3 linked regions of the Struthio camelus genome follow. The protein of the gene in region 3 binds, or shares a complex with, the protein of the main gene of each other region. Links are inferred from orthologs where the notes say so. Each region holds a gene or a part of one and is shown on either strand. Other genes may lie near its edges.

Region 1 (7,168 bases), on a different chromosome or scaffold from region 3:
CCTAAATTAAAAAACAAACAAACAAACGCACCGTGCAGCACCTGCCTGCACGCAAGTCTCGTGCAGCTTTATCGAGATGGCTAAAGCATCGCTGCTAAACCCTCAGACCGTGGCACAACCGCGCAAGCGTCAAAGGTGCAGCCCACTTTGCGAGAAGTCGGAAGCGAGACTAACTTCAGGCCGGCGGACCCCGCAGCAGGCGGCGGCCGGCTCAGGCAGCCCCTGAGCCCCCGCGCACCCCCCGGGCCGGGCCGGGCCGGGCCAGCGCAGCGCGGACCTGCCGCCCGCGCAATGCCCAGCGCCGGCCGCCCGGGGCTCCTCGCTGCGGGAGGGCGCCGTGAGCGCCCCCAGGCCCCGGGGGGCGGCGGGGGCAGCCTCCCACCGTCCTGCCTCGCAGAGCGGGAGGGCCCCGCAGGCCCCGAGAGCGGCGGGGGCCTCCCGCACGGGCGCGCCGCGGCGGGGGAGGAGGGCAGCCCGCGCGGCGCCGGCCCACGGGCTCCTCTCGCCGCCGCGCAGCCCCCAGCCCGGCGGCCGGCGCCGGCTCCCCGCACCGCCGCCGCCGCGGCTGGGGGTGGCCAGCGGCCCGCTGCTGCCCGGCGCTGCGCCGCGCTGCGCGCTCACCGCGCGTCCCGGCCGCCGCCGCCTGCCTCGCGCCGCCCGCCGCTGCACCCAGCCGCCCCGGCGCTGCCGACGCAGCCAACATGGCTGATGGGAGAGTCCGCGCCACGTCAAGGGGCAGAGAGCGGCGGGCCGGGGGCGGGCGGAGCTCCCGCCGCCTCCCCTCCTCTGCCCCCGGCCCGGCCCGGCCCCGGCGCCGCGGTGCAGGCGGAGCTCTCGCCCCCCCGGCCCCGGGACCCGCTGCCCGGCGCGACGGGAGGCGGCGGCCGCCGCCATTTGTCGCCCCGCGCCACTGCTTTTACCGTGTGCTTTATCTTCCTGAGGGCTTCTTTCTTCTTGCTTTCCATGTGCTGTTACAATTTCAGATTTCTCCTAGAGATAGTTTTAATCTTGCTCTTTAAAGCTGTTTGGAAAATAACGTGTTCCGACCACTAGAGGGAGCGGGGCCTTCTCCGCCCCTGAAACGCATTTAGTTCTCCCTCGCTGTCCGGCTATTCCTGAGAGGGACCACCTGCATTGTATCTCCTAGCCCGTTGTACACCCATAGGCACCGGATAACTACCTTTACACTTGCATATGGGTGTACTTCTCTGTTATTTCTTTCTTCTTTTTTTTCCCTAGGGTCCATTTCAGGTAAATCCTCAGGATCAAGAGAGCTCAACCGGTGTTCTCACAGTCCTCACGTTTGCCCAGCCTGTTGTCTATCTTCCAACATGTGTATTTATGCCAACTTTTTATTCTGGAAAACTGTTTACATATTGTCTCAGACTTGCTGAGATAAATATATTGAACCTAGACTCTTGGTGGTTTTTAACCTGTTGCAGCACTTCTTCTCACATTTAGACATATTTAGAAATCTAATGCATGTTTATTTACTCTCTGCGCAGTAATTTCCACATATCCCTACCTGTACAGAGTTTTGTTAAGCCTTCTGGGTAGTGTGGGTTTTTTCTTTTTTTTTTTCCTTCAAAGACAAGTTATAGTGATACTTAGGTTTCAGGGCACTTCAGAATTACTTTAAACAAGCCTGAGACAAAAGGCTAAAACAGTCTGAATAAAACATTTACTTCTGTCTTTCATGATAAATCTTACTGCAAGTGATCTAGACGAGGGGGAGGAGTGAGAAACATTCTATCTAAACAGTCTATCTTGTCCTTCGCTGCAACTCTGAAAATATGCAGTGGCCACTAGCCAAATATAAACGACCAAATTGTCTTTATCCCCATTTGTTAGATATCAAATGTGATTACGACAGAATTCCTATGCCATTACTATCTCCAGTATTGTTAGCCCCTCCTCTTTAGGGCCTAAGAATATGAGCATGTAAACAAAAGTGGATTTTAAAGGGAGCCAGTTAAAATTTCTCTGTTCTCTAATCTCACTGCCAGTTGTGGGAGTATTGAGCTGGAGATCGTCAAGGCCATGTAACCTCCCCAGTTTGTGAACAAGGGTGGACTTCAAACAGATGCAGAGCAAGCAGTTCAGTGTTACACTTTTGAAAGCGCTCAAATACTCTGGTGAACGTTTTCAGAAAGGCATGATACAATGAGAGGAGGCAAGTCCCAAAGTCAAAATTGCAAGATGACCTCTATGGAGGAGGAGAAGAAAAGATAACTGAAACATTTAAAGAAGCTTAAAAGGGAAGAAGGAACACCTGGAAAGTTTAATATTCTAAAAGTTCAATGAAAATAAAAGGCATACAGTATTTTTATCAGTCATAAGCACAATTATTTAATTACATAATGACTCAGTCCAGCATCCTAAGCTTCCTTTAAGAAATGTGATGGAGCCGTTAAATGTTGATGGATACCACAGAGAAAAGCAATGGGAAGTGGAAAAATAGAACAGAAAGTTGTACTCATTATAATGTACTCATTACAAGAAAATATTCTTTCTGTTATCTCTCAATATTAGAATGTACAGTAATGGTATTCTATTTTTCTCACTAAAGATTGTTAGTTTGTGTTAGATATTTTTTAACTCAGCAATGCATATCCACTGATGGCAGCTCACCTTTCCTTTGGAAAAGTACTCTTCCATAACGGCGAGGCAGCTGAGAAGGAAGAACATTTAGTTCCAATTTCTTTTTCCTCTTTCTCCACTGAGTCCACTTTGACAGGCACCACATCAACATTGTTGGTAAGACTTGTTAGGAACAATTTTGTTATCCTAGGAAGACCACCTGTAATAATTCAAAATATTTCATTTAAAAAGTGACAGTGGGACTGTACCAGAAAAAGTCATCTAAATATAAATAATATTTTATATTTACAATGTATTTATATCCACAGAATGTCTTTCTGTTCATAGTTCTTGACTTCATGGCAAACAGAAGAAAAGTGCTGAATATTATATAAGTTTTAGAAGAAAACTTTTTACAGCTTGACTCACCAAAATTTTTGTCTACACCATTGGTCAGCCTTTTCAGAAATATCATTGCAGTTTTAGCTATGCAAGTCGTATTTCAAGTGATGACTGCACTTGTTGCATAATCAACTAGGAAGTTAGATCCGGGTTTCAGAGTTAAAACACCTTCTTACACGTAAGTGGTTTTGGAAACACCTTAAAACAAACAAAAGTCAGTGCAGAGGAGGAGTTAAGAGTTAGTGTTTGTTCAGAACTGCTGAAGTACAGCTTTGTAGGAAAAAAAACATTTATTTTCAAAACTTGAAGCCAGAACAGTCTAGAGCTGCTCTGCTCTACTCTATGGACTGAAATTAGTACGAAACAGATTCAGCACACTGCAGAACTGTTAGGGAAAAAGAATATATAGACTGAAATTTGTCCTAACAGGAATTCGATAATACACAGTTCAAATGCATCATCCTGCTTTCTATTTGTTTTGCACTTTGAAGCAACGCACCTTTGTGTTAGCGCTACTTTGATTTTGATCTGGCATATGGATATATGCATAGAGAATATATATATAAACCCATACAGCAACAACAACAAAACCATGCACTGGCTCTTCCAGAAAGAGAACTATGCTTATTAATAGCACTTAACTTTTACATGCCTCATTTCAACCATAGATCTCCAAACATTTAAAGGAGAGAGCAAGTAGTAGTACTCTCACTGCACTGGTGCAATAGAAAATATTAATAGATGAGTTTTGTTTTTAAAGAACCCCTTGAAAATAACAAGGTACATTAGAATGATGGCATAGAGGCTAAAAACGGTTATTAAAGGTTTGCAGCGGCGCAGCGGCGCAGGGCCCCAGCCTCCCACGTCTCGCGAGACCGCGAGCCCGCGGCCGCGCCAGCCTGCGCAACGCCTGTCGCCTCCCCGCCGCGCGCATGCGCGCCGGCCCGGCAGCCCCGGCGGCGGGCGCGAACGGTGGCGGCCGCCGGGAGTGGGGAGGAGCTGTCGGGGCGGCGCGATGGAGTCCGCGGTGGAGGAGCTGATGCCGCGGCTGCTGCCCGTGGGCCGCTGCGACTTGGCCGAGGACTTCGACCCCACGGTGCCTCCCAGGACGCCCCAGGAGTACCTCAGGCGTGTCCAGTGAGTGGCGGCGCGGAAGGGCCGAGGCGCGGCCGGCCGGGGTGCCGCCGGGGGTCGGGGCCGGGCGGCGGTTGGAGCTGCCCGGGCGCGAGGGGCCAGCGCCGCGCCGGCGTGCGCAGGCACGGCCAGGGCTGCCGTGTCTTCCTGAGAGCTGATAGCGACACGGGGCGCTGCCAGAAGGTAGCCAGAAACGTTACTTCCCCAGCGTTTCCTCCGTGGTCGGCTCTCTCCCTACGTGAGATGTCAAAACGCATCTTTTTTTTCTGTGAGGCTCGTTCTGTAAGAGCTCCTAACGCTTCGTGGCACGCTGCCGTCTGTCACTAGGTGTTTCTGACAGGCTTGTTGGCCCGTTGGGATTTGCAGCGCTCGGCGCTGGTGCTGCGCGCTTCTCGCAGAAGGATGGAGGGTGCATCTGTTAGCTGTGTCTACCTACCCCTAACAGTGGCCTCCCGCCATCTCCCGCATCCCGGTACGGGAAGCATAATCTGTCTCACTTCAAGCAAGCTTCAGGCAAGCTAGAGCAATCGTCCCTAGTTTATTCTCAGTTTGAGAATACTTAACCTGTGATACATTAAGAAATTCTCAAGTTACACCTTCCATAAGAATTGCTAGTATAATCAGTGGTGTTTTTTTAAACACTTGAGAATTTGTGCAAGTGCCATAGTTTAAAGACACTCAACATATATAACCACCTGTTACAATACAGGAACAAATGTAACCATTTACTTTTGTTTTGTAGGATTGAAGCAGCTCGCTGCCCAGATGTCGTTGTGGCACAAATAGACCCCAAAAAATTGAGAAAGAAACAGACAGTAAACATTTCAGTAAGTTTGAGAGGTTTTGCACCTATTATTTTGAGGGGGGGGGGAAGCAGAAAATATATTTATGTTAAAATCTCTGTATTAATTTTTTGGGATAGTTGGCCTAAATAAAACAATAGAGTTGCTGTATATTAAAAGCATCTACAGAATTCCATGAAATTTCAGGGTTTGAAGAGACGGTTGTTGAATTACTGGATAACAACAGTCTTTATAACTGTTTTAAATGGCTATTATCCATGCTATTTAATAAACAGCAGGACTTATTTTACTGCCTGAGGAAATTAAATATTGCATTAAATTTTATAAACATTTTCTCATAAAACCTGTGTAAGCTTTGGAAGAAAGATACTCATACCTCTGTTCATATATATATATATATATATATATACACACATATATATGTATATTTTTACATGTGTGTGTGCACATATATATATATTTATGTGTATAGAGGGTGATGAATGATAGTAAGTGTAATAAATACAGCTAAGGTTTACTAATGTTAGATGAAATTCCAGCACCAATTCTTCCATTTTTGGTAGGATATTTTATTGAAATTTTTTCTTATTGCTCAAGCAGATCTTTCTGTTGTCACATGCCCTGGTGTTTTTTGTTTGTTGTTAATTTCTTTACTTCCAAATAGTTCAAGCAACAGAGTTTGTCTTCCTCTGTGGGAAACTGTGATCTGATATTTTACTATTGGACTGCTCAAGAGAAGTTTCTAAAACTTTAATGTGCTCTGACATATGACCATGTCATTCTTGTGACCATTCTCTTCATTTGTCTCATCACTTTGTAGTGGCATTGTTAAACATTTGTAGAAAGATTCTTTTCTTAAAATAACTCTTTAAAGCTGGTTACTAGAGGGGTTATATGTCTACTTAATTTTCAGAGTTAATTTCCAAAAAGATATTTCTGCAGTCTTCTCTGTCTTCCTCACCTTATTAGCTGAGCACATAGAACTCCCAAGATAGACAGCATCTGTCCAAAGTAAGGAAATAACATCCTCCTTTTTATAAATAGGGAAATGAAAGCAGAACAATTGCAAGGAAAAAAAATATATAAAAATCTTATTTTGATAGCATATTTTGAATACTTAGTTTTTCTTCTTATTCGCGTTATCAGAAGAGTCAAATGGGAAACTTTGCCTCAACCAGCTGTCAAATCATAGTCTTGTACGTGGTCATGAAATCACCTTTTTTCTAAAGAGTATATAAATGACATTTTTATCTGATAGTAAATATTTGCTGATGCTCTTGCTCTTAAGGATTCTTTTTATAAAACTTTCTTTACATTATAATTATTGCCAGTGTTTTCTTAGATTTCTGGATGTCAGCCTGCTCCTGAAGGATACTCTCCAACTCTCAAGTGGCAACAGCAGCAAGTGGCCAATTTCTCAGCTGTTCGTCAGGTACAAAATGGTGGGGGGGAATGTTTGCAACTTGCACTGTCTAGATAGAACACATCTTTGCTTTATGGGGGACAACCTTATATACTTCCTACCATAAAGTTAAAAGATTCTATAGCAGATGTTGGTAGATAACTGTTTTAACTTCTGACAAAAAATCAGTATATAACTGTATGGCTTTAAACTTTTGATGAAACTCTCAAGAGAGTTGTGGTAAGAGAGATCTGTTAAAGACAAAAAATGTTCATTCAACTGTATCAAAAATATCCAGCTATATTTAGATTAAATGATGTAGAGTAGTTGAGAGAGGACAGAAATCCTGATGTTATGCAGTTATGAAAACCTAGAACTCAGCATCAACTGAAAAAAAGGTGGATTGTAACCCACCATGAGATTTATGTATACACTGTATTGCACATTCATATAATACACTGCCCATTTAGGATACCATTGTCACTGGTGGGACCCATGATGGGGAGAAATATTGATTTGGCAAAATGCATTTGTAAGGTTGTGACATTTGCACAGATTTAAATCTTTCCTACCGCGTTTATACGTTGCTTTTAAATAAGAGAACTAAAATGAAGAATTGAATAGCCTCTCTCGATTCACAGTTCTGAGTGAAATGCAAAAGATAAAGATCTTTACAACTCCAGTGCTGCTGAAGGCATGTTTACAGTGCGTTGGTATCACGTTTCAGAGATACCTGAATTAACTCAATATAATCAATTGCACTGAAGCAGCTGTAGCATAGAACTTTGCATGAGCTAATTTACCCTGTTTTTTCAGGGAGGTAAATCAGTGAAGGTGGAGCTCTGTA
Region 2 (8,344 bases), on a different chromosome or scaffold from region 3:
CTTGTCGCCGACATTGTCCGTGATGCACTCCAGGAAATGTCTCTCATTGGCTCTCCGCAGCGCGTTGCTGGGGGACATATCGGCGGCACTGAAGGCCTCGTACTGCGAGAGGACCTCCAACGCCACCACCACCAGCGGCTCGCCACACCCGTTGTCCGGCAGCATGGCAGCGACATGCAGCACATGGCAGAACATCTGGATGCAGACAAAGGACACTTCCTGTGTGGGGTTCATGTCCTCGGCGGGGGGCACGGGGGGCACCGTGGTGCTCTTGATGGAGCCCAACAGGTCCGTTAGGCTGCTGCAGTACAGCTGGACCACGTGGAGCCAGGCCTCTGCCGGCAGCCAAGTGGAGCAGCTGGAGCTGCAGAGGAGCTGGAAGCCTCGGAGGAAAAGCACAGAGAACTGGAGGTAGTGGGCAAAAGGCCGGAGGTTGAGCAGGGGCATGTACTGGACGTACTCCAGCGTGTACGGCACATGTAAGACTTGCCTCTGCAGCAAGCTTTGGACCACATGCGCCAGCCTCTTCCATTCGCTAAGGCTGCACCAAGGGAGGACCTGTATGAGGGCCACCAGGAACCCTTTGCTGAAGAGATTCACTTCTTCAGGGTTGTCCACGTTGACCGTGAGGAGCGTCAGCATCGTCTCCCTGAGCGCTGTGGACACGCAGCAGCACTCCATCCATGCCAAGAGCCCGCTGCCCGGCCCGTAGGCTGGTAAAGGCCGGGACGTCCACTCGTCCTCTGGGAGCTTGCAGATCTCAAATAGCGTCTCTGGGACCTCATTCTTGAAATGGTCTCCGTAAAGCTTCTTCAGGTGGAGACCAACAGTCCAGTCCAGTGATGCCAACTTCCTATGAAGCCAAGCCAGCGACTGGACCCACACCTCAGGGGATGGGGCGGCTTCTGGTCTTACCACTTCACAGAGTTGGGAGAGGGTGTTCACCACCAGGTCTTTGGTCTCCAGTGAAGGGAAGTGCTGGTCCCTGGGCCGATGCCAGTACCTTGTGTAACCATCCAGAAGCTTGCAGAGGCTGAGGAGGAGCGGGAATGGGTAGCAGGACTTGATCCAGTGCTCTTCTGGATAGGACTGCATCCCCAAAACCTTACTGAGGATCTGCAGGCTCAGCTCAATTTGAGCGCAGTCTGATTTCAAACAGGGAAGGATAAAGGCTTTAGTCACCTCTGCAGGTGACACAAGTGGAGCTGCTGAGCTTGGCTGCATGAGAAAGGCCAAGAACTCAAGAAACTGTTCCTCTTCTCTCGCTGTGGAAAGCTTCCCCCATACCGCCTCCTTCAGACACCTCACTATCAGACTGCGTGGCCTGCCTGGATCATCGTGGGTCTCCAGGAAGCTCAGTGCTGGGAAGGAGCAGAGGATTTGGGCAAGGAACTGGTGTGTTCCTAGGTTGACAACAGCAAGATTACAAACCTTCTTCACGGTGGCCTCAGGGTACAGCAGAGTGAGCCTGGCCACAGAAGCCACAGCCCTGGACAGGCCTTGATCGGACACGCTCTGCGTTATCTGGTTGAACGTCACATTCAGATCCTCCTGGAATCCCTCCATGACAACCTGCAAGTTCAGGGACAGACCCGGACCACCCCAGGAAGCCAGGACACCTGAGAGGACTTCATTCTTGTCAGTTAATGAAAGCTCAGTGTAACACTCCAGGATGGCTCTGGTCACTTGCATCTGCAACTCTCGGGCCTCCCTGTCTTGGGAGGACACAGTAAAGTTCACCACAGTATCCAGCAATTTCAAAACTAGCTCTGGTTTCTGGAAGAGAGTTTTGTTTTTCACAAGGCAGTCAACCCAGTCCTTTGAAAAGGCCCAGGTCTGTTCAGAAGCAAAAACGGAGCACATCTCCACGTGCCGGTCCAGCTTCCGCTCAATGATTGTCATGGCAACTGAAGAGACAAGGCTGGTGTCTGAATCCTTGCTCTTCAGACTGGTGCTGATCTTCTTGAGAAAGTCCCCGATGATCTGTGTCAGCTCTAGCACTACGGACTTCTCGTCCTCGCTCAGGTCTCTAGTCTCTGAGAAGCAAACCAGGTTCTTTCTGAGGGTGGTAAGCGTATCAAGGAGCCGGTAGCTCTCATAGCAGAGCTCCTCAGAGTTGTTCAGAGTGCCCTGCAGCTCCTCTCCCCAGGCATGCAGCAAGGTGCGGAGAAAGTCCAAGCCAGCAAAGAGCTCCTCGTCAGAGAGCTTGACGACGGACAAGAGGCTCATGCTTCTCTCAGCCTCCCTCACTTTCTCGTCCAGCCCTCTCCGGTGGTACCGGCTTTCAGCATCGCTGTTCCAGAGGCTGACCACGGAGCTGACCTTGTCCAGGTACTCAGCAACGGGGAGGGACCTGCCCTCTGGCTCCAGCTCGGTGAACACAGAGAGCAGCTCCGCCAGGTTGGCCAAGGCGTAGCACCTCATGCGGGGCAGGGTGATGCTCCTGTAGGTCTGTTTCAGCCCCTCTATCAGGACCACGAGCAGGCTGGCGGCAGCCGGCGGGCCAGTCACAGAGACAGGGTCGCTCTTGAACCTCTTGGGGGGCTGGAGCCCGTCGTCCGGAGAGGACTCGGACCCGTGCTGACGGATGAGAGCGCTGAACGTCGAGGCCGTCCCGTCCTCCTGCTCCTCCTTGTGCTTCATCACCTCCCACCACACGTCCAGGAAGAAGCTGACGTCCGCCGGGGAGGTCTCGCTGGCGACGTACTCCACCAAGCGCTCCAGCTCGCCCCGGCGCAGGTGGCGGGGCAGCGCCAGCAGCAGCTGCACGAAGAGCCGGGGCACGTTGAGGGCCTTGGCCAGCTCGAAGAGGACGGTGTGGTTAACGTCGGGGATCATCCGCCCGACGGAGAAGAAGGCGTCCTCCCGCCAGCCCCGGTCCAGCGAGGCGGGCGGGGGGCCGGGCAGCAGCACCTTGGCCCACACGATGGCGACGGCCTGTTTCTTCCAGAGGCCGGGGCGCGGCGGGGCGGGGCGGCGGGCGCCGATCTCGCGCAGGGCGTCGGCGATGGGCGGCCCCACCAGCGGCCAGTCGGCCTTGCGCAGCTCCCGCAGCGGCCGCGGCTGGAAGAGCTTGGCGGCCAGCAGGAACCCGCCGTGCAGGATGGCCATCTCCTCGCACACGCCCCACGGCCCTGCGCGGGGACACGCGGCGCACCGTTACCCCGGCCCGGCCCGGCCCGACGCCCCCCCCCCTCCTCCTCCTCCGCCCCCCGCGGCCGCCCGCGCTCACCTGCCTCCATGGCGGCCCCGGCCCGCGCCCCGCGCCGCCGCGCTCTGTGACGCCAGCGCGCCGCCGCCGCCTCAGCGCCCCCTGGCGGCGCGGGGGAGCTGCCGCCGCTGCGCTCCGCCGCCTCAGCGCCCCCTGGCGGCGCGGGGGAGCTGCCGCCGCTGCGCTCCGCCGCCTCAGCGCCCCCTGGCGGAGCGGGGGAGCTGCCGCCGCTGCGCTCCGCCGCCTCAGCGCCCCCTGGCGGAGCGGCGGAGCTGCCGCTGCCGCCGCCGCCGCCGCCTGGCCGGTTCCCGGACAGGGGGGGTGTCACATCCCCCCCCCCCCCCGGGGCAGTAGGAAACCTTTAACAGCTCTGGACGATCTATTTGGGGTCGTGCTACTTAAAAGCTACTTTTCGGACGTGAAGAACTCCTCTCTGCATCTGCCGTGGTTTAAACCCGCGCACGGGAAGGCTCCCCCGCTGCCGGTGCAGCCCCGGGCGGTGCCTGGGCTTCCCACCAGGCCAGGCAGCGAGTGGAACTTTTTTCCCACCCTTTTGACACAACTTTGCAATGATTTTTTTTGTTTGCATGAAAGGCGTTGAGAATTACATTAAAACTGGCAGAACATTGCATAAGAATGCCCTGCAGGGTAGCTGAAAGAACAGATCTCAGATCATCGTCACCACAAAGCACTTTTATTCATTTAATTGCACGTTTTCAAAACAACAGGCTGTGGAGATACAATTTAAGTGTAATATTTTTACTTGATCAGTAGTTGGCTTAATCGAATGAAACAAAAAGCGCAAACAACATATTGAGGATTTTTTCCCATTTTAATTCAGCATATTCCTCGTAAGCATTTAAATTGTCTCAGTGATACACAACTGCTAATGCTGTTGATTTTGCCTCCTTTTTTCTGTAAAACTTATTTCAGGTTTTCATGAAGAAAGATTAAAAGCCAGCTAGCCTGCCGAACATGAACAATGCTAGTAATGAGTCCCTGTATTCCCAAGTTCTCATTCCACTAGCAAAAGCAGAGCGACTTTATTCCAACCCATAAACCCATAACCATTGCTTCCAAAAGGTAATTTAACATCAAAGCTAACTGCAAAGCCATGTGTACGTATCTGAAGTTACTTCCTGGCCCCTCAGGGGAAGGCACGGAGCTGTTGCACCCCCCGAGGCACAGCCAGGCTCCAGCCTGGAACGTGCGGTGCTGTGTGCTGCGCTGAGCAGCTACGCAGGCAGGGGCTGGGTACGGGATCGAATACATCCAGTGGATTCACGTAGTATGACCCCAGTGAGAAATCCATCCAGCTTTCCAAAGTGCATACTTCACCGTGAAAGCCAGGCAAAGATTTTGGAATGAAAATAATTTTCCAGACTAGAATATTCACATGCATCACCAGGATAGTTACCCTGTTCTCAATAAATAAGAGTCCGCTATCATAGCTACAAAATGGTCAAGTTCTCTGTAGACACCCCCTCAGCTTCAGCTTGAAACTTCATCACCAAAGCAGGACAGCTGCCATATTCAGGGCCAGAGCTACCTGAAAACCTATTTTCTGAGCAGCAAATCCAGGTTGGCCAAACCCAATTAACTGGAGGACTAGATAGTCTAATAAATCCACAGATTCTAATGAATCTACAGATTTATTATAGAATAAGCTTTAATAGTACCTGCTCTCTGACTCTACCATTGTTGATAAGCTTTTGACATGGAAATTTTCTCCTTAACTTATCCCATCCATTAATGGGAACAGAATAGGCCTTTTCCACGTAATATTCTTATGTTACTATTGACCTCACGTTTTGCTTTAATAGTGAATGTTTGAGAACATCTGTAAATAGCTTTCATTTCATCCACAAACTTAATTCCTATTTTAATTCTTTAATGAATATAGCCAATTAATTAGGGTCCCACTTTTTAATTATCTTTTAATACCTTTGTTTCAATACATCAGAAATTTGCCTCTGGTGACATTAAACAGGAAAACCGTAGAAGCGTTATTCACTCACAACCATGGCAGAAGGCTAACTGAGGACAGCTGCTCACAGCACGCTAACAGCTGTTAACAGCGCACTACACAAGATATCAGAGAGCTGTAGCAGTGTTAGAGGAGAAACTCTGGGCCTCCTTTTCAAGTCTAACAGGAATAGAGAAATGTGAGAGATTTTCTACCTATTAACTCATGGTTCCTGTTTTTGAAGCCATATGCTCAATCTGTTCCTTACTGTACAACCCAATTTTTTGCATACATTTGAAGGAGCACGTAGCATTTACTGGAAAGGAGAGATTAGCATTAAGAGATACAAGCTCAAAAAAACCCCCAGCATTACACTGGCCTCTTATTGAAGAGGATAACACAACACGTTACATATTATAGGCATTTCACTCAGATGGCAACCAAGGCACAAATGATCAGACGAGTCTTATTCTCCAACTAAGCAGAAGCCTTCTTCATGTTTTTCTCTGCAAACCATTTGTCACTCTTGTCTGCTGCCATGGCCTGTACAAAGAAAAATTTTAGTATTTAGAACAGAAGCCCATTCAGCCAGACACCTGGTTGCTGACATTCACCAGCCTGCCCCACAAATTTAGAAAGCATCCTTATAATCAATCTAGTTCTGAAGCAAGCTATTCTGCTGAGGAAACCTCATGGTTTCTGCCAGTGCCTCTCTGTCGCGGAAGGATCTTCAACTGCAGGGATGTTACTGCAGCTGACAAATCATTTTCTGCAGTAACTTGCACCAAAGTGTTGTTTGACAGGTCCAGCAAGATGCACAACCTCTTGGCTGCCCTGAGAACAAGGCTGGAAAACTAGCCAGGACACAGAAGTGAACTCTAAAAATTGATTTGCTTTCCTTAGCTGGAAAGGAGACTGAGATAAAACACCACATGACTTGCTTCTCTGAAAAAACTCCATTTGGAACTAAAGGGAGCTTCCTTGGAAAGGAAATTAAATTCTACTGGGCGTCTAACTGATCAGTATGAAAACTCATGCATAGACAGCATTACTTACATCATCTAACAGTTTATCACCATTAGGATCCACCTTGGACAGATCTCTAAATGCTTCATCTCCCACAAAGCAGATTTCATGGCCATCCTAAACCAAGTTTAACAGCACAGTAAGTTAGATAACTGGGAGACAGATATTTAAATCAAATCTGTCAGTCTTGCCAATATTACTCACAGGATCCGCCAAAATAATCACTTGCACTGTGGCTTTGCCAGGTGTGTCCAAGCTAACTAGAGGTGTTAAAATTTTCTGATGCTCCTTTTTCATGAGTGCTTCAATGTTTGGCAACTGAAACAGAAAAGAAACAAGACCAGCCCTAGTCAGTTGAAGATCAGATGCATTCAGGTTGTTCTCGTTTACAGTTTCCTGTTAGCCCGTTTCTCCATTGTGTTCTCACTGCAAGAAATAGGAACAGAACATCTGTTCAGTGTTACTTTGTTCACATCTGAGATATTTTGTTAATACCAGAAAATAATCTCCTAGTAGCCAGCTGGCCAAATGAAAGGGGGAAGAGAAAAAAGATTACCTCTTCCTTTGCGCAGGAAAAGGCAATCCGCCCAAATGCCGTCCCATGATCCACTGCTCCTCCAACGTTCTTCAACTCCAATTTACACTGGAAGAGGAAAAAAATAGCCTAATTTGCAAGGACACTATTCTCAGCGCTACACTTAACTCCAGCTTTTCACTGATACCGATGATGTCAAAACTACCCACATACATATTTCCCAATGAGTTAGAACTACCAGAGCAAGCCATAGCTTTTGGTTAAAAAATGAATTAAGTGCACACAAGCACACACACACACAAACAATCCAAAGTAGGAAAGACTGAGAATTGTTGACAGTTTCAGCCTTTCTTTGCAAAACATTGAACAAGTAAGTTCACTTGCAGGTAAGTGTCTCAACGGAACAGTCAACTTGTACCACTGATTTCTATTTGTATAAGCATTCTGGGCAATAATTCACAAAGGAGAAATGCTTTTAACAAATCATTTAAAATGTAAACCCAGAAGCATTAACAACCGTGAGAATCTCTTCTCTTGCAACGTGTAAGAGGTAAGATAGAAGCAGGATGCACTAATAAAAGCTAATGTTGAAAAGGTCAGAGAAACACTTGTTTTTATGAAGAGCTTTTCTCCTTTAAGATTTTGTTCTCATGAATAAGAAGCTTCTATCACGAAATACAACTCTTAAAGATCAGAACTGGAAAGTTTTCTATGAGACTAACCTGGTTATCTGCATAGCCTAGTAAAACCCTTTGCTTTTCCTCATCCTTCTCATATATTTTCATCCCAAGCAAATTAGACCAGTAGTTAATAGACTTCTGCAGATCGGAGACACCCAAAGTTACCTTTAGCACAGGATCTATAAGATTGCAATAATTTCACATTAGTTACAGAGATACTGTAGTTTTAAACTCATTGTTTTACATTCTCGAGATGAAGAGAGAAACAACAAGGAAATGAAACAGAAACATGCTCCTGTTTCATAAAACGTTGCAAGCCAAATGCACAGCCAATTCCAGTATTCCACTTGTAGGCCTCTTTTGAATGTAAGTAAGAGTAAGCGGACATGCTTTACCTTGCTTTCGTTGTTCTTTGTCTTCCAAGTAGAACTTGTATCCTCCCGGGGCCTCAGTTTCAAATATACCAGTGGCAACTTCGCTGAGGGGCCATCCCAGCTTCTTAGCATTGCTCACAGCCTGGCTGGACACAAGTGTTATGCCCTAGCAAGAACAGAAAGGACACATACAAAATACGCTGGTGCGAAGATGACTGAGGTGCCTCTCTTCACCGGCTTGCACTAGCACTGGCCCTCCAGTTTATATGCATCGATAAGGAGAACTCTGTCTTCCTCCCTTTCACCCTTCCAGGCTACATTAGCCACAATCTTGGATCCAACCTGTGGTTGTGGTCAAGGAGATCTGACCACCAGACAGAGTGGATGGTGCATAGTTCCCCCCTTTGAAATAATCTGCCTCTACATATGAAGACCGGAAGCAAATCAGATTACTTTTGCTTAGAGATAGACTATATGATCTCCTGAGAAGCTGGTATCTTGCTCCTGCAAAGTAAGTGTAATCTGACCTCTCATCCCACATATACACTGAGA
Region 3 (7,636 bases):
GATCTGACTATCCCAGACTGAAATCTACCTAAACCAAACTCCTTCCCCCTCTCCCTGTGCAAAGGGAATTATCTGACCTCCTGAGGGGATGCATTCAAGTGACTTACTGCTTTCCCAGACAAATGGTTTTGTAATGTCTAACATGAATGTTATCGCTTATATTTCTTGTCCTGCTCCTGGTGAACACCAAGAACGTCCTAACTCCAATTCTGACTTCTTTGGGCCAAGGAAAATCATTGCTAAGAGTCAAATACGGAATGGGGTCCATCATGGGCAGTGTTACAGCAAAACAGAACTTCAATCGTAGTTCTGATTTTTAGTTCCTATTAGCACACAGTAAATCAAGCATAGTGAACAATCAGAGCATTACACTATTAGGTTAGCAAACGAAAGGTGTAGTTAGAGAAGAACTCTTCCACCATTTTGTTATTATTTACTTCACTTATGTTATTAACTTTACTCACTTCTGCCTCTAGTACAGCTCCATATTCGTATGGTCTGATCTTTGCTTCCTGAAGCCAGGTAACAGCCTTTCTTCGCAGCCGTATCTTGTGTCAGCTCCCCATTTGGAACTTCACTGTCTTCTAAAGGAAATATCGAATAGCGTCAAAGTCGTGTTATACTTTAAAACTGAAAGGTCTGTATAAATCAGCTGAAACTATATTGCTCTGTATCAGAAAACACCGTAGCTTAACTCATCAGGTGCCTTTGATTAGCTACCACCTTTCTATGAATAAGGAATTGAGTTGCCTAGAAGGAGGATTTCAGTATGAACCAAAAACCACTTTACGAACTATTAATCGTTTCTACGTACCTTGGAGCTCATCTTGCCAAGCAGGTAACCTTTCTTCACCAGGCACAGGGCACCAGGCCAGACAGTGTATTTCATCGTCATGGCCTCTTAGCCGATGAAGAACTTCTCTTTTCCTGCTGATATCAATTATAACCACCATGCCATCCTTGTAGCTAAAAATAAAGATTTAAGTTAATGAAGAAACTCTTGGACCCTTGTGGAATAATATCTGATTTGATTTCAAAGCTTGTCACTGAGATTGTTATCATTATCTCCATATTACAGACAGGGAAGCCAAAGCACAAGCAGCAATGGGACTCGCAGACTAACGATCAGCTGGAGCTCCAGTTTAGCACTGGAATACACGCAACTGCCTTTTCAGGTGCAATTACACGGTACTTTTGGCTTCATGAATGTCATTAGTAGTATTGCTTCCACAGACCTGACAAGCAACAGTCGCTTTTCTACATGGAAAACCTTTCCTTTTAGAAACACCACTTTCATTTTCTCCCTTCTCTTGTGTTTGTTCTCCTTCAACAAAACTGCGCTCTCAAGTTTAAAGGGCTTTCATGTTATTCCTTGTTCGTTCAATATGGTCTTGGGCATCTAAGGGGCTGGAATTGCAATGGCTGAGAAAGGCCTAGCAAGACTAAGAAACTGTTCAAATGAAGTTACCTGTAATATGACAAAGACCAAAGAAGTCTAATCAAAAAAATATTAGTTTAAAATAACTTCAGAGATTCAAACCAAACCCAGACCCTTAAATTTTTATAGAATTCTATGTCTTTCATGTCTATCAAATCTGAACATTCTTTCTGGGTTGCCGCGTACCAGAAACCAAACAGCCACCAAGACCTCTTAGAAAGCAATTGTGCAATTGTTTAACAAGCAAAAATCCACGACAAGGACCTTTCAAAAGAAGAATGAGAAGCAACAAAACAATTAATATTTACCCAACAGCCACCAGGTTTTCGTCATGAGGAGAACAAGTGAGGCAAAAAATTGTCCGAGGCTCTGGGAAGAATTGTTGGCTGTCATTTCTGTTATGCCAGTAACAAACAATTATACCTTTCTCATCACCGGATACAACCAAATCTTTCACAAGAGGTGACCAGTGCAATGCAGAGATTGTATTCTGAAGAAACAGAATCAAAGACGTTTAAAGGAGTCTAGGATGTTGTTCCACTAGATTTATTTCATACTGTTTAAAGAATTAAAACACAGAACACAATGAAATGCATAAAAAGCAGCTTCTTTTTGGATGGAAAGCAGACTACGTTACTCTAACAGCCTGCCTTCACTCACTAGCTAGAGATTACCACCTAACACAGAATAACAAAGAGAAAACAATCTGCAAGTACTCCCCAACATCAGCTAAGTTTTAAACTGCTTCCGTTACTTTGAGCTTTGACATGTTTGGTGTGCCAATACGCTGCCATTCCAGTTAACTTCTTATGGGCCATGGTATCTCCCAGCAGCTGAGGCACAGTAACTCACCACACGTACCGCACGTGTGTTCTCTGAGGAAGAACAACTTGGTGAGGTGATGTTAAGTGAGCTGTGTTAATAGGCATGCACCAAGTGCATTACTCGCTCACTGAAGCTCTGATGATACCTGACAGCTTATTAAGATGCTATAACATCACTATAGACCTAAGCCCGGAAAAAATAGCTACCCACAAGAATTCAACAGTCCTGACTCCACCAGTTTCGAAATCCACCTTTAGTTGAAGCAATACCCGCTGCTTTGTGCGCCAGTCCTACAAGGCAGATCAGTGAGTTTTTCTCTCAGCGTTTCCTACGCCCCGGCGAAGATGGGCACCGGTGTCCCTACCTGGTGCAACGTATGCTCCGTCACCGGCGACAGCGTCTGCGTGTCCCAGACTTTCACCGTCCCGTCGTCGGAGCTGCTAGCGCAGAGCCCGCTCTGCCCGGGGTGGTGGCAAAACGCGAACCCGGAGACCCTCTCCGTGTGGCCGACGAGCTCTCCTGCGCGGCAGCGGAAGAGCGGGATGGAAACCTCCTCGGAGGGCACGGACCCCACGAGGGCGCGGCCCCCTCCTCCACGAGGGCACGACCTCCCCCCCACCCCCGAGGGCCGCCCGCCCCGGCCCCGGCCCCGGCCCCGGCCCCCACCACGTGCGCGGGCCGCAGGGCGGCGGAGGGGCGGCCCCGCCGCGCTCTATAAAGGCGGCGCGGAGCAGGAGGGCCCGGGGCGGCGTCAGGGGGCCCGGTCACCCCCATCCTCTCCCACCCCACCAGGCCCCGCGCGCGCGCGCGCCGGTACCGTAGAAAGCGGGCGCGGCGGTGCCGCCACCGCCGACGTCCAGCAGGCAGATGCTGTGCCTCGCGCCGAAGCCGAAGAGGCGGCCGTCCCCGCTGGCGTCGCTGCAGCGGCTGCTGTACCAGTTGGGCGAGGCGGGCAGCACCCGCGCCGCCGCCGCCATGGCCTCGCCGCCCCGTTAGCCGCCTCGGGCGCTGCCGAGCGCTGCCGCCCAGCGCCGCGCACGCCGTCGCAAAGCTGGCGGCGCGCAGCAGGCCGCGCGTGCGCCGAGAGCGCCTGCCGTAAGGCGAAGCAAGGAAGATGGCGGCGCGGCGGGTAGCGGCGGCTGGTGAGAGTGAGGGGTCGGGAACGGCGGCGGCGAGGCGGGGGCCGGGGCAGGCCGAGCCCGCCGCTCCGCCGCTCACCTCGCTTCTCCCTTGCAGGTTGTGCCTGGCCGTGGGGCCTCCTCGGCTGGGCGCGCCCGGAGAGGTGAGTGCGGCCCGTCCCTCCGGCTCCGCGGGCTCCGGGTGCCCAGCGCCGGGGGCCCGGCCCGGCCCGGCGACCGCGGGGCGCGGAGGGGAGGGTCGGGCCGGGCCGGGCCGCATCGCTGCGTGCGTCGGTAGCACCTTTCTCCGCGCCTGGTCATAGCGGCACGACGGAGGCGTCTCTCTGCTCTGGTCCTGCCCGCGCAGCTCCCCTCGTTCCTCCCGCCTTCTGGCGCACAGCGGTGCCAGAAAATTCCCCTGGCTCCCCAGCGGCCTTTTCCGTAGTTGCTGACCTTCCCGCCCCATCTGCACGGGTGGGGAGGGTGAGTCTGGGGAACGCGGGGCTCTGCTGGCTGTATTCCAACTTCAGAAGAAAGGCTGGTGATGTGGATTTTCAAAGGGCAGAGCTATGGTCTCGGCTAAAGCCTGTGGAGGTAAACGAGCGAGCCGTGTCTCTGAAGGAAGAATAAACATGCTTGTGCTTTGCTTACTGCCTTGCAGTTGAACTAAGTTGCATGCTGATGGCTTGTGTTTTATTGAGTTCTTCTATGTCTGCTGCTTACTCCTTATGCACAATTCCTGCTATAAAGCTTCTTTTTTTCTTTCCTTCTCTGCTTGGTTTTGTGTATGTAACGTAAATACTTTTGTTGCTTGTCATTGTCTTCTTTGGCTTGTAGTCTCTTTGTGTCCTCTTCTGCCTGCTGAAAGCACTACAAGTAGAGTTGCCCTCTACATACGCTTGGATTACCTTCAATTTTAAGCTCCTAAATCCTTAGTCTGTGAAATGCATTAATGCGTTCTGCTAATACTTGGAAGATAACTAATTCACTGCTATCTCAGCTAATTCAGTCATCAATCTGCACCATTGTATATTTTTGTTCTATATTATTCAATGATATTGTCTAGTGATGATGAATTGTTGACTTGCTGTTGAGTGAAACTCAAAGTATTAAGCAAATAATGAAGCTAGTTTTGATGAATACTGGCTAGAAGAGTCCATAATATTTTAATTTGCACGTTACGCTACTTCCTGTTGACCAAATGTGAAAATTTTTAGTCTGTGCAATGCTCTCTTGCAACTAAGACATTGTATGCTATTTGCCAAAAACTTTTAAATTGCTTTGATGCACAGTCTGGCAGTGAACATAAAGGTCTTCAAGCCTTAGACTTTGTAAAACTCACAGCATATCGTCTTGACCTTATCTAGATTCTTTTTGGTTAGAGATTAATGAAAGGATAAGGATAAATTGGTATGTCTTTGAGATTCATTTGGATGTGTGGGCTTAATCATATGATCCGTGATTGCTAATCTTTATTCTTATTTCATATTAACTTATGGAGGCAAATGCAAAAATACTTTTGTAGTTCATTTATTATTATATTGTAGCTATATCAGGAAGGCTGCTAGCAGAATCTGGACTCTGGAGAAAAGACTGTCTTTTGTTCGAACTGCGTGTTGTATTTCCCACCTTCAATTATTCAGTTAGTCTATGAGAGTACCTAATATAGGGATGGCTTCAGTGAAGTGTTCTAAATACTTAAAAGGGAATTGTTATTTCCCTGCCGCCAATATCTGCCAATTCAGAAAAAGAAAAATGTCATTCAGTAGTTGCTTGCTTTAGAAACTTTGATTGCAAGGATCACGTATGCCAAGAGGAATGTGGAAATACGGCTTTTTAAAGACAATTCTGAGGTAGTGTGTCACTTACTTGCTATGAAACTCTACTCTGTGAGAAAAGGAGACTGATACCGAAATGGTGCTTCAGAAATAGCTAGTGTCATGCCAAAACTTTTGGGGCTAAATGTCTTGCTACTGTAAGGTATGGGGAGGGGGGGGATTCAACTCTGACAACTTTTTCCCAGCTCTGACAACTTTTTCCCCATACTAGCAGTTTTTCAACATGAAAGCATTCTGGTCTCAGCAAGCAGACAAAGTGGAGTAGAGTTGCTCGTTCTGTTTCAGTCTCAAGTTGAAAGGGAGGAAGAAGACTAGTAACTAGCAAAGCATGTGTTCTAGTTAAGGCTGGAACAGACACTTAGAAAGCTCAAGGTATGTTTTGATTGCAATACTTAAGTGTCCCAATTTCTAGAATTGGTTTTCAGTTTCTAAAGCATTTGATGTTACATTCTAATAGAATATACTCGGTCTTTGACAAACCAAAATGGAGAAGACGCCTTGGTTTGTTACCTCTTGCTTTCAAGCTTTGTTTCCTCTTGACTCCTATTTCTTGTAGCTTATAGTTACGACTGACTGCCCTGTATCATTTTATCTAGACAACAGGGGGCAAAATGTAGCCTAGTCTTTCTGAATTGGAGGTGAGAGAACTGACTGAAAAGCATAGAAATAGTTTTTCACTGTCAATTATCTTATTTCACTGCCTTTTTAAAGAAGTTCTGAAATAACTTTCCTTTCAAATTTCAGACAAGATGAGTGTATATACAGTTCTAAGACTTTGGTAGTCAGTCCTTGAAAAGCTAAAAATTACTACTGCTAAAAATTTTTAGGTGAAACTTAAAGTATTGGCTGATCTTAAAAACTGCAAACAGTGGGTTCATTATGTTGGTAATGAACCCCCCACAAAGAGGCGATTACATCTCTGTCAGGATCAGCGGATGCTCATTGTGGCATCTCTTGCCACACAGATGTCGCTTAAGATCATGGCTTGCTTTAGGAAGGCTAAAGCTTCCTGCCCAACTGTGGGAGACCTTTCAGTATAAAGGCTCAAATAGTTTCATTTTGTGAGCTGTCAACTGTGACAGACATTCACTTTATCCAGACTGGTAAGGATAAATTCAACAGGCACACAGAGTTTTTGTATTCAACAGCAAAGGTTGTGGTCTTGTTTTGCAGGTTTTTAGCATCTGGTAGTGTTTTCCCTCTGTCATGCATCCACACAAGCACACCCCTGGAGAAACTTGGGAAGTGGGAGAAAAAGAACAGGATTGTTTACCCTCCACAGCTGCCTGGAGAACCTCGCAGACCAGCGGTAAGAATGCACCTATAACTTTTGGTACCTGTCTATATGTAACGATTTCAGAATACAAGGTCATTGTCTCAAGATCACCCTACGAGGCGCTAATTTGAAAGCTTATTTATTTGGTGTTAAGATTTTGGTCTGTTTGGTGTATTTATATTGTGAAAGCCAGAGAAGTTAACTTCACTTTGGATGTTTCCCACCTCTAAATTTTGTTGGAACTTCAACAGCTGATCAGCTATCTAATGTGTGATGCGTAGTGCAAAGATATCGTCCTCTCTTTGTAGAAGTCTGAGCTACAAAGAGGCAGAAGTTACCAGGAACTCTCAGTATACACTTGTCCTATTCATGCTAATAGTAGGTAACTAGAGAAGAAGGTGACTGTACTGTTGGTTCTGTGCACAAAGCTAGAAAATCTACTTCTAAGTAGCGGAGCTAATGGTGTACATTTACTGTAGATGCAGTAAAGTGCATCATCTTTTCATTTCTTAATTTATTTTCTTACAGATTATCTGGGGCCTAATAAGGTGTGACCTCTTAACGTGGCCTTTCTCCTAACAGACTTATTCGTAGGCTGTCTTCTGTCTTATTGCTTGCTTGTTTTGTTTTCTTGGATTTGTTCGGTATGGACTGAGAGATTCTGAAATTATCAGAGAAGAACACATGAATCGGACGTGATATATGACTGCAGAAACCCCTTTCCCTCAGGAAACCAGTATATGAATACTGTACAGCGGGGTTGTTTCTTCAGACTCTTTGCATAATAATTTGTATTTACTAAGCCATGAATTGAAGGAAGGAATCTAATATCCTTTTGTCACCTAGATCCTCAATGTAGCCGTCTTCCGTTGGCCAAAGTAACTTTTGCAAAAGTCAACTTAAATAACATAGTCGACTCTTTCTATAAAGTAATGACAAATAAGATTATTTTTTGATAACTGCAAGTTCATCCATGTTTCTTCTCTGTTGTCCTTCTCTTGACCAATTTATAGCTGGAAAGTACAGTTAAAAGCAAGCAGCAGCAAACCTCTTGTTTTAGAGTTCTGCATGAAAACTGAGTGTTGTGTATTTTGTCAGTGAAGGGAATAATCTATGGTTCTTTCTCTACACCACAAACTGA

What was found.
Region 1: GEMIN5 (region 3) and GEMIN2 share a complex: the UniProt entries of both Homo sapiens proteins name them as parts of the SMN-Sm complex. The link is inferred for Struthio camelus from reciprocal best matches to the Homo sapiens genes GEMIN5 and GEMIN2.
Region 2: GEMIN5 (region 3) and GEMIN4 share a complex: the UniProt entries of both Homo sapiens proteins name them as parts of the SMN-Sm complex. The link is inferred for Struthio camelus from reciprocal best matches to the Homo sapiens genes GEMIN5 and GEMIN4.

Annotation. Positions count from the first base shown.
Region 1 is NC_090946.1:57,112,291-57,119,458, forward strand, and holds the start of GEMIN2 (gem-associated protein 2), read left to right. Parts: upstream 1-3,861; 5' UTR 3,862-3,997; coding exon 3,998-4,119; intron 4,120-4,858; coding exon 4,859-4,943; intron 4,944-5,469; exon of another isoform or gene 5,470-5,921; intron 5,922-6,261; coding exon 6,262-6,351; intron 6,352-7,168. UniProt on the Homo sapiens protein: The SMN complex catalyzes the assembly of small nuclear ribonucleoproteins (snRNPs), the building blocks of the spliceosome, and thereby plays an important role in the splicing of cellular pre-mRNAs.
Region 2 is NC_090957.1:18,137,224-18,145,567, reverse strand, and holds the start of GEMIN4 (gem-associated protein 4), read right to left. Parts: upstream 3,308-8,344; 5' UTR 3,243-3,307; coding exon 3,233-3,242; intron 3,135-3,232; coding exon 1-3,134. Other genes in the region: GLOD4 (glyoxalase domain-containing protein 4), read right to left, coding at 5,655-5,720, 6,234-6,320, 6,408-6,521, 6,760-6,846, 7,461-7,597, 7,814-7,958. UniProt on the Homo sapiens protein: The SMN complex catalyzes the assembly of small nuclear ribonucleoproteins (snRNPs), the building blocks of the spliceosome, and thereby plays an important role in the splicing of cellular pre-mRNAs.
Region 3 is NC_090954.1:11,969,670-11,977,305, reverse strand, and holds the start of GEMIN5 (gem-associated protein 5), read right to left. Parts: upstream 3,346-7,636; 5' UTR 3,241-3,345; coding exon 3,081-3,240; intron 2,783-3,080; coding exon 2,628-2,782; intron 1,929-2,627; coding exon 1,747-1,928; intron 967-1,746; coding exon 815-966; intron 585-814; coding exon 465-584; intron 1-464. Other genes in the region: MRPL22 (large ribosomal subunit protein uL22m), read left to right, coding at 3,378-3,405, 3,500-3,545, 6,393-6,528. UniProt on the Homo sapiens protein: The SMN complex catalyzes the assembly of small nuclear ribonucleoproteins (snRNPs), the building blocks of the spliceosome, and thereby plays an important role in the splicing of cellular pre-mRNAs.